Linked DNA regions of Stegostoma tigrinum. The protein of the gene in region 1 interacts with the protein of each later gene in a pairwise test. Links are inferred from orthologs where the notes say so. Each region holds a gene or a part of one and is shown on either strand. Other genes may lie near its edges.

What was found. The genes of interacting proteins can lie anywhere in the genome.
Region 2: the proteins of glutamate decarboxylase 1 (region 1) and haao interact in a two-hybrid assay, tested with the Homo sapiens proteins (4 studies listed by BioGRID and IntAct). The two-hybrid records come from large-scale screens. The link is inferred for Stegostoma tigrinum from reciprocal best matches to the Homo sapiens genes GAD1 and HAAO.

Annotation. Positions count from the first base shown.
Region 1 is NC_081360.1:51,746,134-51,753,774, reverse strand, and holds the start of glutamate decarboxylase 1, read right to left. Parts: upstream 3,021-7,641; 5' UTR 2,255-3,020; intron 2,217-2,254; exon of another isoform or gene 2,105-2,216; intron 2,014-2,104; exon of another isoform or gene 1,927-2,013; intron 1,582-1,926; exon of another isoform or gene 1,497-1,581; intron 1,224-1,496; 5' UTR 1,138-1,223; coding exon 1,056-1,137; intron 1-1,055.
Region 2 is NC_081362.1:66,108,009-66,115,469, reverse strand, and holds the start of haao (3-hydroxyanthranilate 3,4-dioxygenase), read left to right. Parts: upstream 1-4,440; 5' UTR 4,441-4,612; exon of another isoform or gene 4,613-4,643; intron 4,644-4,721; 5' UTR 4,722-4,755; coding exon 4,756-4,835; intron 4,836-6,741; coding exon 6,742-6,820; intron 6,821-7,461. UniProt on the Homo sapiens protein: Catalyzes the oxidative ring opening of 3-hydroxyanthranilate to 2-amino-3-carboxymuconate semialdehyde, which spontaneously cyclizes to quinolinate.

The DNA of each region.
Region 1 (7,641 bases):
TTCTCTTTAAAAACCTGGTTTTGCCAAGTAGAATTAAATTGGGCTAAATCATAAATTGTGTGCCGGAATTTTTCCTACACAATCGCTTTCCCAAGGACAAACACGAACGTGTGAACTTCACGACTACATTGTTTCAATGCGTGTATATTGTTATATATAAGACGTGATATACACACATCAACATATATGTGTATGTATAAGAAAACATGAAGACATTGAAATAATCAAAGTGTGGCAATATGAATCTCACGATTCTAAAGTTTGAAATGGATTGTCAGAAATACAAACGCATTCTAGGTTAGCCTGTCCGCCTTGGCAGATGGAAAGAATTAATGCGCCTGGGAGCGTCTGAAAGCCTTGAGGGCAGAGACATTACACGTGTAATGATCGGAATGCCCGTCTTTATTTCTGGTAAGTTTTTCTTTGTCAGTGTCGATTATGTCTTCGACTATTTTTTTGTACCTGATGTCAAAATTGTTGAGGCAGTGTGGGAAGCTGATTAGATCCATCAGCGCCATTCTCATCCCTGCCAGTTCAATAGCTCGCTTTCGTTCGCTCTGTGCCGTCGCAGCTATTAGCGAGTTCATAAGAGCTACAATTAGCTGCATCAGGCGCTTTCTCTTTCTCCTATAATTACATTTGCACTCAGACTCTGCGCTAAAAGGGTCTGTTGCGATAATGAGCGAAGTGTATTTTCATAAATTGCTAAACCGCGTTGAAATTATTGCTTAAAAGACTTATTTTACATACAGCTGTAGGCTCATTTCCACGGGTGTGAAAAAGAATCGCAGCTTCCAGCTGTTGTAAACAAAGAGAAAAAAATACAATTGAATAAACTATCAGCACTTTAATAAGCCTGGAACGCTAAGGACCCCATTGTGAAACGTTTTAACCAGGTAACAGTACAGGTGATGTTAAAAGGCGCTTTAGCAGTAGTCAACGTGCAGTTTTATTCATTTATGAATTTTCTGGGAGTACTTTCTGCCTACAGAATAACCATTAGCTGCTTTAGTCATCTTCTTGCGTTGTCTAAAAATGAAGCAGCAATCGCTTACTTGTGCTTCTATCCGCCGGCCGTAAATTTGTTGAATTGGAGTCTTGACTCGCTCCGGAAGATGAAGGAGCAGAAGATGCCATCGGTTCTGACAGACGCGAGCTCTTTGCTTAGCTGGGGCTGACGCCTCCTTTCGAATCCTTTCTTCTCAACGTAAAGACACTGCTTTCTGTAAGAAAAATAATAACAGGACAGCCTTGTTAGTTTGGCTTTAAGCCCGCTTGTGTCTGTGTGCGTGCGTGTGTGAGGACGATGGGCTTCGAGCACGGTCGTGCGCTTTCAAACATTTCACTTTATTAGCATTCAGGGCGCTGAAGTGCTCTGATGGACGTTGGGAAGAGCTGTGGATTGCGCTGGCACCGGTATGTCGCGCGTAATCGCAAAGCAGCACAGAAATCAGTAAAGGTGGAAAGATATCAAACAATCTTTGCGAGCTGTTTACCAGTTGTAACGCCGGCAAAGATCTCGCGAACTGCATCGACTGAAATAATTTCTATTGCCTTTGCTTCACCGCTAGGCAACCTACAATATGCATTTGAACGGTACGCGGTCCAGTAGGACAGTGCCATCTCCCCACATAGGTTACAACAATTGTCAGTCAACAATGGAGTTATGGTCATTGTCAGTTTACATTTATTTATGCAAAATATTGATGAATTAACCAACTGTACCGAACAGGACCAGGCAGCATTGTTACATTCAATGTGATCCTAACACTGTCCGAAACGATTTAACCAAACTATAAAATAGACAATGCAATGGTCAGTGAGAGCCTTTCGGTTGGAAATCATAACATGAAACGAACCGACATGACGCAAAGCACAAATCCCCCTTGATTACACCACAATTACACATCATTAAATTGTAACTACCCATCCAGAAATAGAGCAAAATCCACAGTACGAGCGAGTTTCCATAGCACGATTACTCAACATGTAATTCGCCCTGACAACGTTTGGACCACTCGATGGCATCGGGACACAATGTGCTTCACGTTCAAACCCAACGCTATCGGACGTTTCCATGTTTTCTAAGACCGGTTTCACTTACCCGCTGGGATTTTAAACTCCCAACCACAATTCCATAAATACACAGGGGCACGGGAAAGTTGGCAGTGGACTTGATCAAAATGACCGGTACAGGAAAAGGTAGTCTCTAATGAAATGGCATGTTACAGGTGAACGATGACGAGGACCTTACCGCCTTGTGAAGACGCCCAGGTAGCAGGTTCGACCATCTGACTCCCGACAACTAAATTAGATCCTTACATGCAAGTTTTAGTCAGCCTGAAGGGCGCTTTTAATACTCCAAGGGAAACGACGTCTGAATATAAATAGAGTACAAAAATTCCGTTCAGCATGACCTTTTTTTTCAGAAGTACGTTTGATTTGCTGTTTTAAAAGTGTGAATCGTCCGTTTATCTGACACGACGCGCGAATGACTCACACATCATCTCCTCTACTCCAAAATGTGTCATGACAAGATTGAGCAGGTTGCTTTGTCTATAGAAATCTACCGCCCGCTACCGTTCCTCTGGAGTGACGTGACTTTTTCAGAAGGTACTTCTTGATGCCTTCAGGGTTTGAGTCCTTGCTTCTGAATCCTGATCACGGAGAGCAGGTGCATCTCAGCAAGGTTGGAGTCTATAACAATAGGTTTACATTTTAACCGCAGAGTCTAGAATTTCTGACACGAAAGGAACCTAAGTGACTGGGGACTGTGCAGCACAGCTTTGAAACTATGAACCGGTTCTCTGCTGGTTGTGGCAATCTTAACTTCTTAAGGAATCTGTGCAGCTTTTCTTCTGTTCACGACAGAAGGAAGCTCTGTCAACGTACATCCACTCTATTTCACACATAATCCAACAGATTTAAGAATAAAATTTCCTTTCTTCCCCTCCCCCCATGTTCATGCCCAATTTAGGTGTCATTAAAAAATTAAACGCCAGACATTGTGGGTTTGTTCGCGATTGCTTTGTGACCATTGTTTTCGAGCACGGTAGGAACCAAGACCCAACAGCAGAGGGCGTCCCAGCTCGTCAAATCGATAGTAAGGTGCACCTTGGAGAGACACCTACACTACAGGTCTGCTGACGCCTCTTTATTCACAGGCACTTTCGTTACACTTTGTTTACGACAGAAAAAATTTATAAGAACACATGCAGAGCTGTGAGATTCCCGGCAGTTAGCAAATTATGACTTTTTAAGCAGGGCGTTATGTTTTAAACAGCGGTGAAAGGAGGGGCGGGCGGAGACACGAAGGAAATAGCAGGGTGGGAAGATCAATACGTCAGCGTTTCAATTGCAATGAAGTGCGTGTAGGATTGTGTGAGGATTACATTGGGGGAAAAATCAGAAAGGCGGCGATGCCTCGAAGCGGGCACGACAGCATATACTGGATTTCGAAATCAGTTATTATGGGAAGCATGTGGCAGTTGTTATCGAAGGCCGTGACATAAACAAATAAATGCAAAACAATGTTAGATGAGAAATCCAATTTCATTTGACGATTTGTGGGAGACATAGTGCAATGCATTATGGTAGAGATTTAAAAAAGAGTTTTCCCAAATCGGCAGCAAGCGAACAGCAGCCTGTATGATTGCATGCAGACGATAACAAACCCCCTTCCTCCAGCCACAAACCACACACTTCACCCCACACACCCATATGGCTGATGATGAATGAAAACGCAGGGTTAACGACCATGTGACAAAGGAATGATCCTAGACGAGGTGAATAGCGAATGTTTCTGTCGTGGAAGTATCAGGGCACCTGTTGTTCTCTCAAATTTAGACTAATTCTTCGCAACGTGGTACTATTCTGTTTATGTTTGCTTTACTGAGGAATGTAATTATTATTTCACGTTATCGACTTTTTCAAATTGAGAAAATAAAACCAATGTGTATATTTGTAGCGAAAAAAATGTTCAGTTAAGGAGAACATTGCCACACCACTCAGATTTCCGGAAATACAGTCGCATAGGTCCATGATGCAAAGTTTGAATCTACAAATGAACGATTCCATTACACAATTGCAGCACTTTACATGTTTCGCTGCACAAATATTGAAATTATCTCGCGGCGAGACACTGAAGCAAAGACTATTGAAGTCACACGGCAGAAAGCAAATTAGAAAATACTTAAAGTATATGGATTTTAAGTCCTGAAATTGAGAAGTTAGGGAAATACTAACAGATTTGTTGCTTTGCAAAAAACGCAAACAATGGATGATGCATTGACGCCGGAACCATGTCAGACAATTAAACATAAGACATTGAGACGATGGCACTCATGGGCTTTGGAAATTGGGGGACTAAATTAATACACTTCCAATGTTTCAAACAATATGGGAAATGGACGAGACTGAAGTCGAGGTTGTATTTCAATTTTAAAACATGAGCCCTTGCAGTAAATCTTGATAGCGAATCGTCCTGCATTTTATTTACATTTTCAACTACAGACGACACTGCGACCAAATAGTGTGTGTTTATGTATGCATGGTGTTGCTAAATGTAGTCTGAAAATCTTATTGATAATTACAAAATCGTTTTTGATGGAATTGGTATTCTGTTAAACTAAATCCGCTCTCCCAACTAAGGGAGTTACTTGTATCGCCCATCATGACATTCTGCAAACCTGGAATGAAATTCTAATCGCTTACTTAGATCCAAGTTTTTTGTTTTTGTTTAAAGCTGTTTTAAATATCAGCACATGAGTATCAATGTCGGCAATAATTATACATTGGTAACTTTAAGCCATTAGCATTTCCCTACACTTCGAAGGGGCACCTATCTACAGGTGAATTACAATTCCCTAAAGTTATAAGCATGTCGCCGTGTATCTCAAAAATATCAATTAATTGGAATTTCAAATGTTTTGCAACTGTAATATTTTACTTAACAACATTCTGCCAGTCTATTATGTCCATCGTGGACTTCCAGAAATGGCATTTCAGACTCTTAAGGTGACATGGGGATCACCGGAGAGAATTTCAAGACATGGCTAAAGTCAATAATTTTAGTGAGAGTGCAGAGGTTCCCCTGTCGTAGGAGAACAACTAATCATGACAGACGTTGGCTTGCCCACGGCTTTTAGAAGACGAGATAAACACGGTGTAGAGCTGGATGAACACAGCAGGCCAAGCAGGATCAGAGGGGCAGGAAAGCTGACGTTTCAGGCCAAGACCCTTCAGAAAAAGCTTCTAGAAGACGGTACGGTTTATATTGTCCTTAGAGCGCAGTAGCAGCAATCTCCTGACTGAAGCTGCTGGCTGTGGAATGCAATGCTCAATTCCTGAAACTGTTAATTACTTTCCTGTTGAACTAAGCCAGACATTCTGTTGAAGTAATGATTGTTCCCTGTGGTTAATTCTAATGTTATGGGAGTGGGGCAGGAAGTTTTACGTTTTCAAGAGGAAAGGCATTGTAAGTTTTTTTTGGAACATTTTCAGAGGATCCAATGACAATTTAGCCATAGGTTTGTGCAGGATTCAGTTGGACTGTGATGTGTAAAAACTCTAAGATAGTCCCAGTTTTTACCTTCAGCACAGCTGGAGTTGCCAATCCGGCTCCTCCGCCACATTACCAGATTCACCTCCATATTTAATAAAAACCGAAAGAACTGCAGATGCTGTAAATCGAGAACAAAAACAAAGTTGCTGGATAAGGTCAGCAGGTCTGGCAGCGTCGGTGAAGGAAAAAAAGACTTAGCGTTTCGGGTCCAGCGATCCTTCCTCAGAACTTCTCCAGCAACTTTATTTTTGTTCACTACGATATTTGCTAGTTTGGGGGAAACAAACTGCTGAAGTCTTAGTGGACAGACTCGTGTGCTTCCATCAAATAATATAGTACAGAAAAATCTTTACTGGGAACTTCATCAATTCATTTGCCATAAATCGGGTGCTGCCGGTAAATTTCAAGGCCAGCCTGGTATACCCAGATGTTAATTTCCTTACAGTACCACGTCAGCCTCCTACTAGTCGGTGATTGTGTCATAAAGTCATGGTGGCCCATTGACACCTTGCTCCCCATAAAGTAATCCCATCAGCTCCATTTCTCCACACTGACCCCCATGCCCCAATTATTATTTCTTTATAATGCCCATCTAATTTCCTTTCAAATCATTCATCATCTCTACTTCCATCACTATTAGAGATAGCAATTTCCAGGACATTACTGTTCAATGCACTGGCCTTGCATCTTTTGTCCAAAACTTAATCTGTGCCCACTGTTGCGTGTACCATCAGCTAATCCAAACAGCTTTTCTTTGGCTACATTAAATTGACTTCTCTTGCAGTTTGTAACCTAAATATTTTTCTCCCAAGAGCATTCTGGTAAATCTCTGCACCTTCCATCCTTGCATAAGTGTGGTAGCTAGAACTAGAGGAAATACATTGGTTCAGAGATAATGGGAACTGCAAATGCTGGAGAATCCAAGATAACAAAGTGTGGAGCTGGATGAACACAGCAGGCCAAGCAGCAATCTCAGGAGCACAAAAACTGGCGTTTCGGGCCTAGACTCTGCATCATTTATGAAGTCCAAGATCTCATATACTTTGCTATTGTGCTCTCAATACATACTTCCACTTTCAAAGGTCAATATACATGAATCCCCAGGTCTCCCTGTCCACATACACTCTCTAAAAATGTACCATAAATTCTATTTTGCCTCTTACTGCTTCTTCCACCAAATTTAATCACCTTACATTTCTCTATATTAAATTCAATCTGCCACTTGTCTCATATTCTGCTAGAGTTTCTATGACCAGTCACATTCCACTAGTGTCATCAACACTGTTGTCCATACGTCTAAGTTTCCAGCTATTATTGATATTGATTTTTTTCTGTACTTCAATATCTAGGTTCGTATACAGAAACACATCAAAAAAGCAGTGATTCTAACACCGATCCTAAGTAGCACCTTTTTGATCATCCTCAGTCCGAAAAACAATTACTTGCTCCTGTTCACTGTTGTCTCTTTTTAAGCCATTTTTAAAATATATGATTAATTTCCAATTCATCCATTGTCACTCTCCTACAAATATTTTGTCGATATCTTCTTCCTTAGTATATGTTAACACAAAGTACCTAACTTTACACTGTTATGCCAAGCATATATCACACTCTTAAAACCCTAATAAACCATTTCTGACTTCTATTACTTACATGCCTGTCGAATAATTTTGGGCTCCCTTGTACATTAGCTGCCATTCCATTTTCAAATCCACTTTCTGCCAGTCAGTCATATTTTCTTCTTCGCTACATATCTCAATACTGTGCACTTGACTTGGTTCTTACATGAAGAATTTATTTGCATTGTACCTATTTTTTTCATAATTTTCCCTATCTCTTTCATCATCCAAGGAACCTTGACTTTCATTCACTTTCCTTTTCAACTTGTTTGAATGTACCTAGCCTGAACCTGAAACATCTTCTTATTGATCACCCATTAACATTTCCTGAGATTTCTTGGTTGTACTTGACCCAGGCTAGATCTTTTTCTATTGCATTGACATTAGCCTTTGTCCAAATTGGGCGGTTCCTCACTCTGCTCCATCACTAATCTAAAACTTTGTGTTGTCATTGATCAC
Region 2 (7,461 bases), on another chromosome or scaffold:
AATACGTTTAATATTACGACGATAATATTGTAATTTCGGGAGAAAAAAATTGATCTTATTCTTTAGTCGCTGATTGATTTATGTATCACTTTCAAAATGATTCTTCACGCAAAAACAGTGAGTTTTCGTTAGAGTCAGTAATTAATTTTTGGAGCGAGGTTGGTATGGTGTAAGTGGAGGGAGAGGTGTTTTTATTTCTCTTTCTGGTTGCCTATAAAACATGTGCTCCAGGTGAGGCTCGAACTCACAACCTCGGCATGGCTCACTCTGTACTGTCATATAAGTACCGCGCGCTAACCGATTGCGCCACTGGAGCTCTGACATCAACGTCCGAGAAATGTCCCATCTACCCTCGGCCCGGGGGGAGAGGGGAAGGGTGGAGACAGTTCGCTTTTCGTTCCGTTTCCTTTCCCAATCATTCCCCCCACCAACAGTCACGAGCGGCTTTCACGAGCCGCTGCTGAGCGGCGGTTATCTGCCCAGCTGCAGGCCAGGCTTCACCGTACCGCGTTCGGCCTGTAGTGGGGAGAGTCAGTCTCTCTCGTCTCCCAGGCTTCAGGCCTCTGCGAATGCAGAAGGTGGACAGACGGAGAGGAAAAATAACAAACGTTAATACCGTAACAGCGAATTTGTGGTGCTGATTCTGGAAATGTAAAATGTACCGGATTCTCAGTTGACTTTCATTTCCGGCCGCACCCCGAAAAATAAAAGGAAAAGGGGTCGGAGCGGGAAGCCGTAACTCTCGCCCCATTACAAGAGGGTGCGACACACGGTAGTCTGTAATCGAGAGAAGTGAGCACACGGGGACAGTGTGAGGAAAATAGAGTTTGCATCGGGCAAATGGAGGAGATTGCAGTGTTTCCAATAGGGGTGAGGGAGGGGGTTGCAGCGTTTCCAGTGCGGGGGGGGAGGGGGAATGAGGAGGGGGCTGCAGCGTTTCCAGTGGGGGGAAGAGGAGGCTGCAATGTCTACTATCGGGGGGGGGGGGGGGGGGAGAAGTGGCTGCAATGTGTCCAGTGAGAGGGAGGAGCGCTACACAATGCCTACAAAGTGAGCGAGCAGCTGGTAACAGTGTCAAAATTGGGGAGAAGCAGTGTGCATTGTTGAAAATGTAGGTATGAGGGTTCAGCAGTTCAGAGGAGTGGTCTGGAATGTCTACATTGGAGGGGAGAATGTGCCTGCAATGAGTGGGGGGGGGGGCTGGGTTGTCTACAATGTGGGTGAGGGCGGTCTGGCTTGTCGACAATGGATGCAGTAAGGTGGTCTACAACATCTACAAGTGGGGAGAAGGGCTCCACAATGAGGAAGGGTGTTACAGTGACAGGGGAGGGGATTGCTGTGACGACGACGGGGGGGGGGGGGGGGGGCAGCAATGCATACAATGGAGAAGGGGAGTAAGAGGGTTGCAATGTCTATAATGTGGAGGCTACTTCACTCTCTCCTCCTGTTTCGTGTCTGAGTTTTTGGCTATGAGATGATACATGACATATAATACTGCCAAGAGATAATGGGAACTGCCAATGCTGGAGAATCCGAGATAACAAAGTGTGGAGCTGGATGAACACAGCAGGCCAAGCAACATCTTAGGAGCACAAAAGCTGACGGTTTGGCCCTTGACCTAGGCCCGAAATGTCAGCTTTTGTGTTTCTAAGATGCTGCTTGGCCTGCTGTGTTCATCCAGCTCCACACTTTGTTATCTCTGTAATACTGCCAAGCCTGTTGACAGTAGGATGTGGCATTCCAAGAGAAACCAAAGAAGGTTTGTTTTGTGTAACAGATTTATAACATCAAAAGTAGGCCATTCAACCCATTTGATTGTAATAGAGCCATTCAATCTCATCCAATCCCAAGTTTTGGTCTGTAACCCTGTGGTATATGAATTGTAGATGTGGTGAGGGTTTTTGCCTCTTGTGAACCTTTTAAGCAGAGTTCTAAATCTGTATCACCCACCGGTGAAAGATAAATGCTTTTCAATACAGGAGGCCATTTCCAGAGTGCATTGTGTAAGCCAATTCACACCTTAACAGTCTAACTAACATTGAGAGAGAAGTTCTGTCCATTAAGATAAAAGGACTTTACTTGGAAGAAGCTAACCAATGTGTTTCAGTTTTCTAAGGTGTGAGTTCAGTAAACCTCCATGTGTACTCTTAAGTCTTCCCTGAGGTCTCACAAAGGGCTAACATGTAACTCAGATGCAATTTGTAATACAGCTATTCAGGTTATCAAGACTGAGTCTCTCTTGTGTCCAAAAACTTTGTGGGCATTCTTCTCCTTTGATATCAGCAATTTAGACTAATATCATTTAGAAGGATTGGTGCAGTGAATCTAACTACAACATATCAGCTGATACTGGTGGAAATTAGCACAACATACTATGGCAGCAACACGTGGGCACCATTCTCATATATAAAATGCTAACAATGGCGGTCTTCTGAAGAAACTTTCAGCCCTACGAAAGCCACTGACATCCAAGGACGAAAAAGAACAAAATCATTCCAGTAAGAAAATCAAATGAAATAAGAAAAATTTGGCAACTTAAAAGTACGCAGAGCCGGTAAGCTTCTGTGAAGGCAGCAAACTGATAATTTAAAAAGGCTGCTGAAGCATTAACAGTACTAAGCCTGTGCGTAGAAGTTGGAAACTTCATAATGGTGGAAAATACTGAAAAAAACTAAAGACCACAAAAGTCTCATCACAGCTAAAAATCATAAAGCTGAATATTTAGTGCAATTGATAGCTAACACCTGAAGTTACTTCCTTTGATGAAAGGTGAAAGTTCTCAAATTAACAAAATATCTAGCCTGAGAAGCTAAAAGACTCAAGTTGCTATATTTAGGAATTAAGCATCATTATAATCACTTAAATGTGTTGGCAACACAGCAGAAAAAACACTCTTTAAACTTAAAGTAATTGTGAAGGGATTTACTTAAGAAAACTGGGCATAAACATTCAACGATTTATGTTCACTGTTGGTATCTTCTCATACTATTTCTTTGCTTCGCATATTTTCTTTTTGATTTCCGTCTGAAATTCCTATATCATGTCTGATTATCAATTGTATTGTCTACTTGACATCTGTCATAGACACATATCTACTACATCTCTTACCTTCTACTTCTGTGACACAGAGAGAATTACATTCATATACCATACCTTTCCCCCATCATAGGAATAAACCTAAACTCTCTCTTCTCATCTCTTACACATCTTGTCTTTTTAGAACGATGTCATTCGTGTAATGTTACTTGTTGATGTAGTTTCTCCCAAAGTAAATCCCTTCACAATTACCACATTAAGTTTTATTTGCTAGCGTCTGTCCATTTCATCAGTCTACGTTCTCCTGAACTTCGTTATTATCCTGATGACTATTTACTAATGTTGCTATGTTTTGTATCAAATCACAAAGTTTGAAATTGTTCTCCTGATACCCAAATCTAGATAATTTTACCAAACAAGAAAGCAATTACTAAACCCCAGAACATCCACAAATACTTGCCTCTAATATTAAAATAAATCCATTCACTATTAATCTCTAATGGCTATACCTTGGCTAATTACATACCATCCCTTTATTGTCATTTACTTTTTTTGATTAAGTCTGTTATGTAGAACTTGTATCAAATGTGTTTTGTTGTATGTCCAGATACACACAACTACTGCATTACCTTCATTAACCTTCTCCACTGTTTCATCAAATAATTCAGTCTGGTTTGTCAGGCACTACTTCAGTAAATCTCTGCTGGATGTCATTTTTAATTTGGATCTGGCCAATGTTGTCAAGGAGACTTTCCAACCATTGATATCTGGTCTGTAGTTGTATGCATACATTTCGGAACAGGACTGTAAAATTTATCACTGTCCAGTCCTCTCGCTGACATCACACACGGAACCATAGAGAACTGAAAGATTGTGGTCAGAACATCTGTTGTCTCACGGCTGAGAGTATCCTTTCTGGTCTGAGAGACTTGTTCATTTTGAGTGATGGCAACTTTTTTTAAAAAAAAACTGATAGTAGGAACTGTCGATGCTGAAGTCAGAGGTAACACAGTATGGAGCTGGAGGAGCACAGCAGGCCAGGCAGCATCAGAGTAGGAGAACGTTGACGTTTGGGGTCGGTACCCTTCTTCAGAAGGGTCTCTGTTTTTCTTTAATGCTTCTCATTTCCATCTTTACCCTCATCTTTCTGTACCCGATTTCCTCGAGGCAGAATTCACAGGGCCCCAGGCCACGTTTGAAGAAATACATGGTTTTTCTCAGGTTTGTAAGGACAATGCATACTTAGGACTTGCGATAATCATGTGACCCGTGTGCTGTAGCTTTCTATAAAATACGTAGCCCTTAACTATTCCACATGCAGCAGCGTACTCCTAATTGTGGGACTATTTGGTAAGGTGGCGACTGCTGGAAGTTTATGTCTCGAACACGGGCACCTTGTTGAAATTTATTCCAGGTTCTTCTAAAAGGCCAGCCTTCTCCCCAGCTTATAAATTTCCAATCAAAAGCGTTTACCAGGGCCCACCCCTCGTCGTGGTCAATAAAGCGAGTCTGAAATCACTTGCCCCTGCTTCTGTGTGAATTTCAAAGATCACCACCAGGACTTGCTGCGCCAAAGGTATGTAATAATATCTCACAACAGGCTGCTTAGGAAAATAGGCAGGGAGTTATTACGATGCATTGGGTAAGATGATATCAAGACTTGCATGTTATTTAATATTTCTCAGGTGCTAACATCACTAAACTCACGATATCCAAACGATGGGGCTGTTTTACAACGTTAACAAATGGATCGAAGAAAACAAGAAGTATTTCAACCCCCCGGTCTGCAATAAGCTCATGTAAGTCACTTTCCCGGGCGTGCCTTTCCTGAAGGGGCACGATGTGGAGGTGCCGGCCTTGGCCTGGGATGGACAAGGTCAGAAATCACACGACACCAGGTTATAGCCCAACACAAAGTTTTCATTAATGGAGAATCTTTGATCTTTTATTCGTAAATTCTGTCTCTGATACTGCCTGTCTCACCTGAAGAAGGACTGAGGCTCCGAAAGCTTGTGTTCCCAAATAAACCTGTTGGGTTTTAACCTGCTGTCGTGTGACTTCTGACCTTTTCCAGGATGGGGAAAGCAGTGAGTGAGTGGAAGTTGAATATTTGAAGCAAGTGCCCAGTGCGATCCTATTTTGCCTGCCGCCGGTCCCACTTGACCGCTCCTTTGCATTTAGCAGGGATTCTCCAATAATCGTTAGCAGTTTTCGGCCCCTTTGAAAGACAGGCCTTGACATTAAACCTTCGATGTTGGTTTATAAAAGACGCTAGGCGTGTAGTTATGGAATGATTTTGACAGTAAAGACTGGAAAAAGCTTGGATTTCCTCTAAGTCTTAGTTTTGCTACCGTTTTTCAGGCACGCATTGGTTACAAAAGCATTTGCCCTCATAATATTCCTTAATTCTGAACTCAGTTCGTAACTCGGTACCTACAGCCTGAATATTTAAGTCTTATCATAGAGCGTGAAGAATGTCACAGAAAATTGTAACACACTAAATAATGGGATGTTGCAAACTGTGCCACATTCAATATCACTGGGAAGCCTCTTCTAGGGATGCCTAACCTGAAGAAGTTACCCTCCTCCCTCCGGAAAAACCTGAGGGGAGCTCTCTTCCACTGCAGCTCTCTTGTAATCTCTTCGGCCTTGAAACTGCTCGACCACGTCCTGAAGCAAACCAGGTACTACAGCCACACCACCTTTTAGTACCTGCCTATGGAACCGATCATCCCCAATTTACTGACCTATCCTCTCCCCACCTACACTCACCTTTACTGGCTCCATCCCCGCCTCTTTAACTTGTCTGTCTCCTCTCCACCTATCTTCTCCTCTATCTTCGATCCACCTCCCCCTCTTTCCCTATTTATTTCAAAACCCCCTTCCCCCTCTTCCATTTCTGATGAAGGGTCTCGGCCTGAAAAATCAGCTTTTGTGCTCCTCTGATGCTGCTTGGCCTGCTGTGTTCATCCAGCTCTACACCTTGTTATCTCTTTGCTCAGTGACAGCATGTTCACTGCTGAGTTAGCAACATATCAATTCCAATCCTGCTGCTCCCTCTAAAGAATATAGTGTGGCACTTAAGTGAAGCACAGGTGTACTTGTAAGAGTGCTGCATCCTTAGTGAAGGTAGTTTTTGGATAAGACATTAAGTTAAAGCCCATTTGTCTTTGCAGGCAGAATAACAGAATCTTAGCACAATTTAAAGAAGGCAAGGGCAGTTATCTTTGCAATTCTTGAGGGCTACTATGCTTCCCCTTGGCGTAATACTAACTACACATTAAGTTTGGAACATCTGAGATTGTGAAGGATGAGTTATTTTCTTTAATTAGAAATTAACAAGTTATTTTGATATCATCCATCTAAGTTGCATTTCACAAGAATTGGGAGGAACATTGAAGTAGTGAAGATGAAAAGTAAACTTTTATCTAGTAAAATACAGGTGCAAGCTCCTTTACCAAGTAGATAGATTCAGAAACAACTGGGTCAAATGATCATTGAAGATTACTTGAAAGAGCTGATACAATGACGGAAAGGATACATTGTCATAACATTATTTATTAGTGCATTAAATTGATCATGTAAATCAATGCTCACTAAAACAACATCATTATCGTGATGCATATTTTAACATGTTACTTCTGAATTACTTTTTCAAATCTGAATTCTTTTGGCTAATACTATTCTTATAATAATGTTTTTCAGGCACAGTGGCCAGTTAAAAGTTATGTTTGTTGGAGGACCTAATGAAAGGAAAGATTACCACATAGAAGAGGGAGAAGAGGTAAAGCATAATTATTCAGTGTTCACTGTACATACAGGAATATAAGAGATCAGAAAGTATTCAATTTCCTTCTCGTTCCACTTTATTTGAAGTGGAATTTAAGTGTGAACCTATCCCACTCCTGTATTCACCCAACACTCTCACCAGGGGTCAAAATGGCTTTTGTACTCCTGAGGGTTTTTGCGATCTTCTTGAGGGCTACATTTTGATTTTCAGAAACTTTCTGTTTATTCTCTCTAACTCTTCCTTTGGCTGATCTGTCATTTAGTGATGATATCTTCTGTATTTATGCTGCTCTGTGGGCCATTTGGACTTGCAGGGCAGAATCAGAAGCATTCAACAGGACATAGCAGCGGGAGTAGGCAATTCAGTCTCTTGAGCCTGCTCAACCATTTAATATAATTATGGTTGATCTTATCTTGGCCTTAACTCCATATTCCTGTCTGCTCCCCTTAACCCTTAGACAATTACTAACTAAAAATCTGTCTATCTGCTCCTTAAATTTATTCATGTCTCGACATCCTTTGTACTCTGAGATGGTGAATTTCCCAGATTAACACCCTTTGAGTGAAATAATTCCTCCATATCTGAGATAATGGGAACTGCAGATGCTGGAGAATCCAAGATAACAAAGTGTGGAG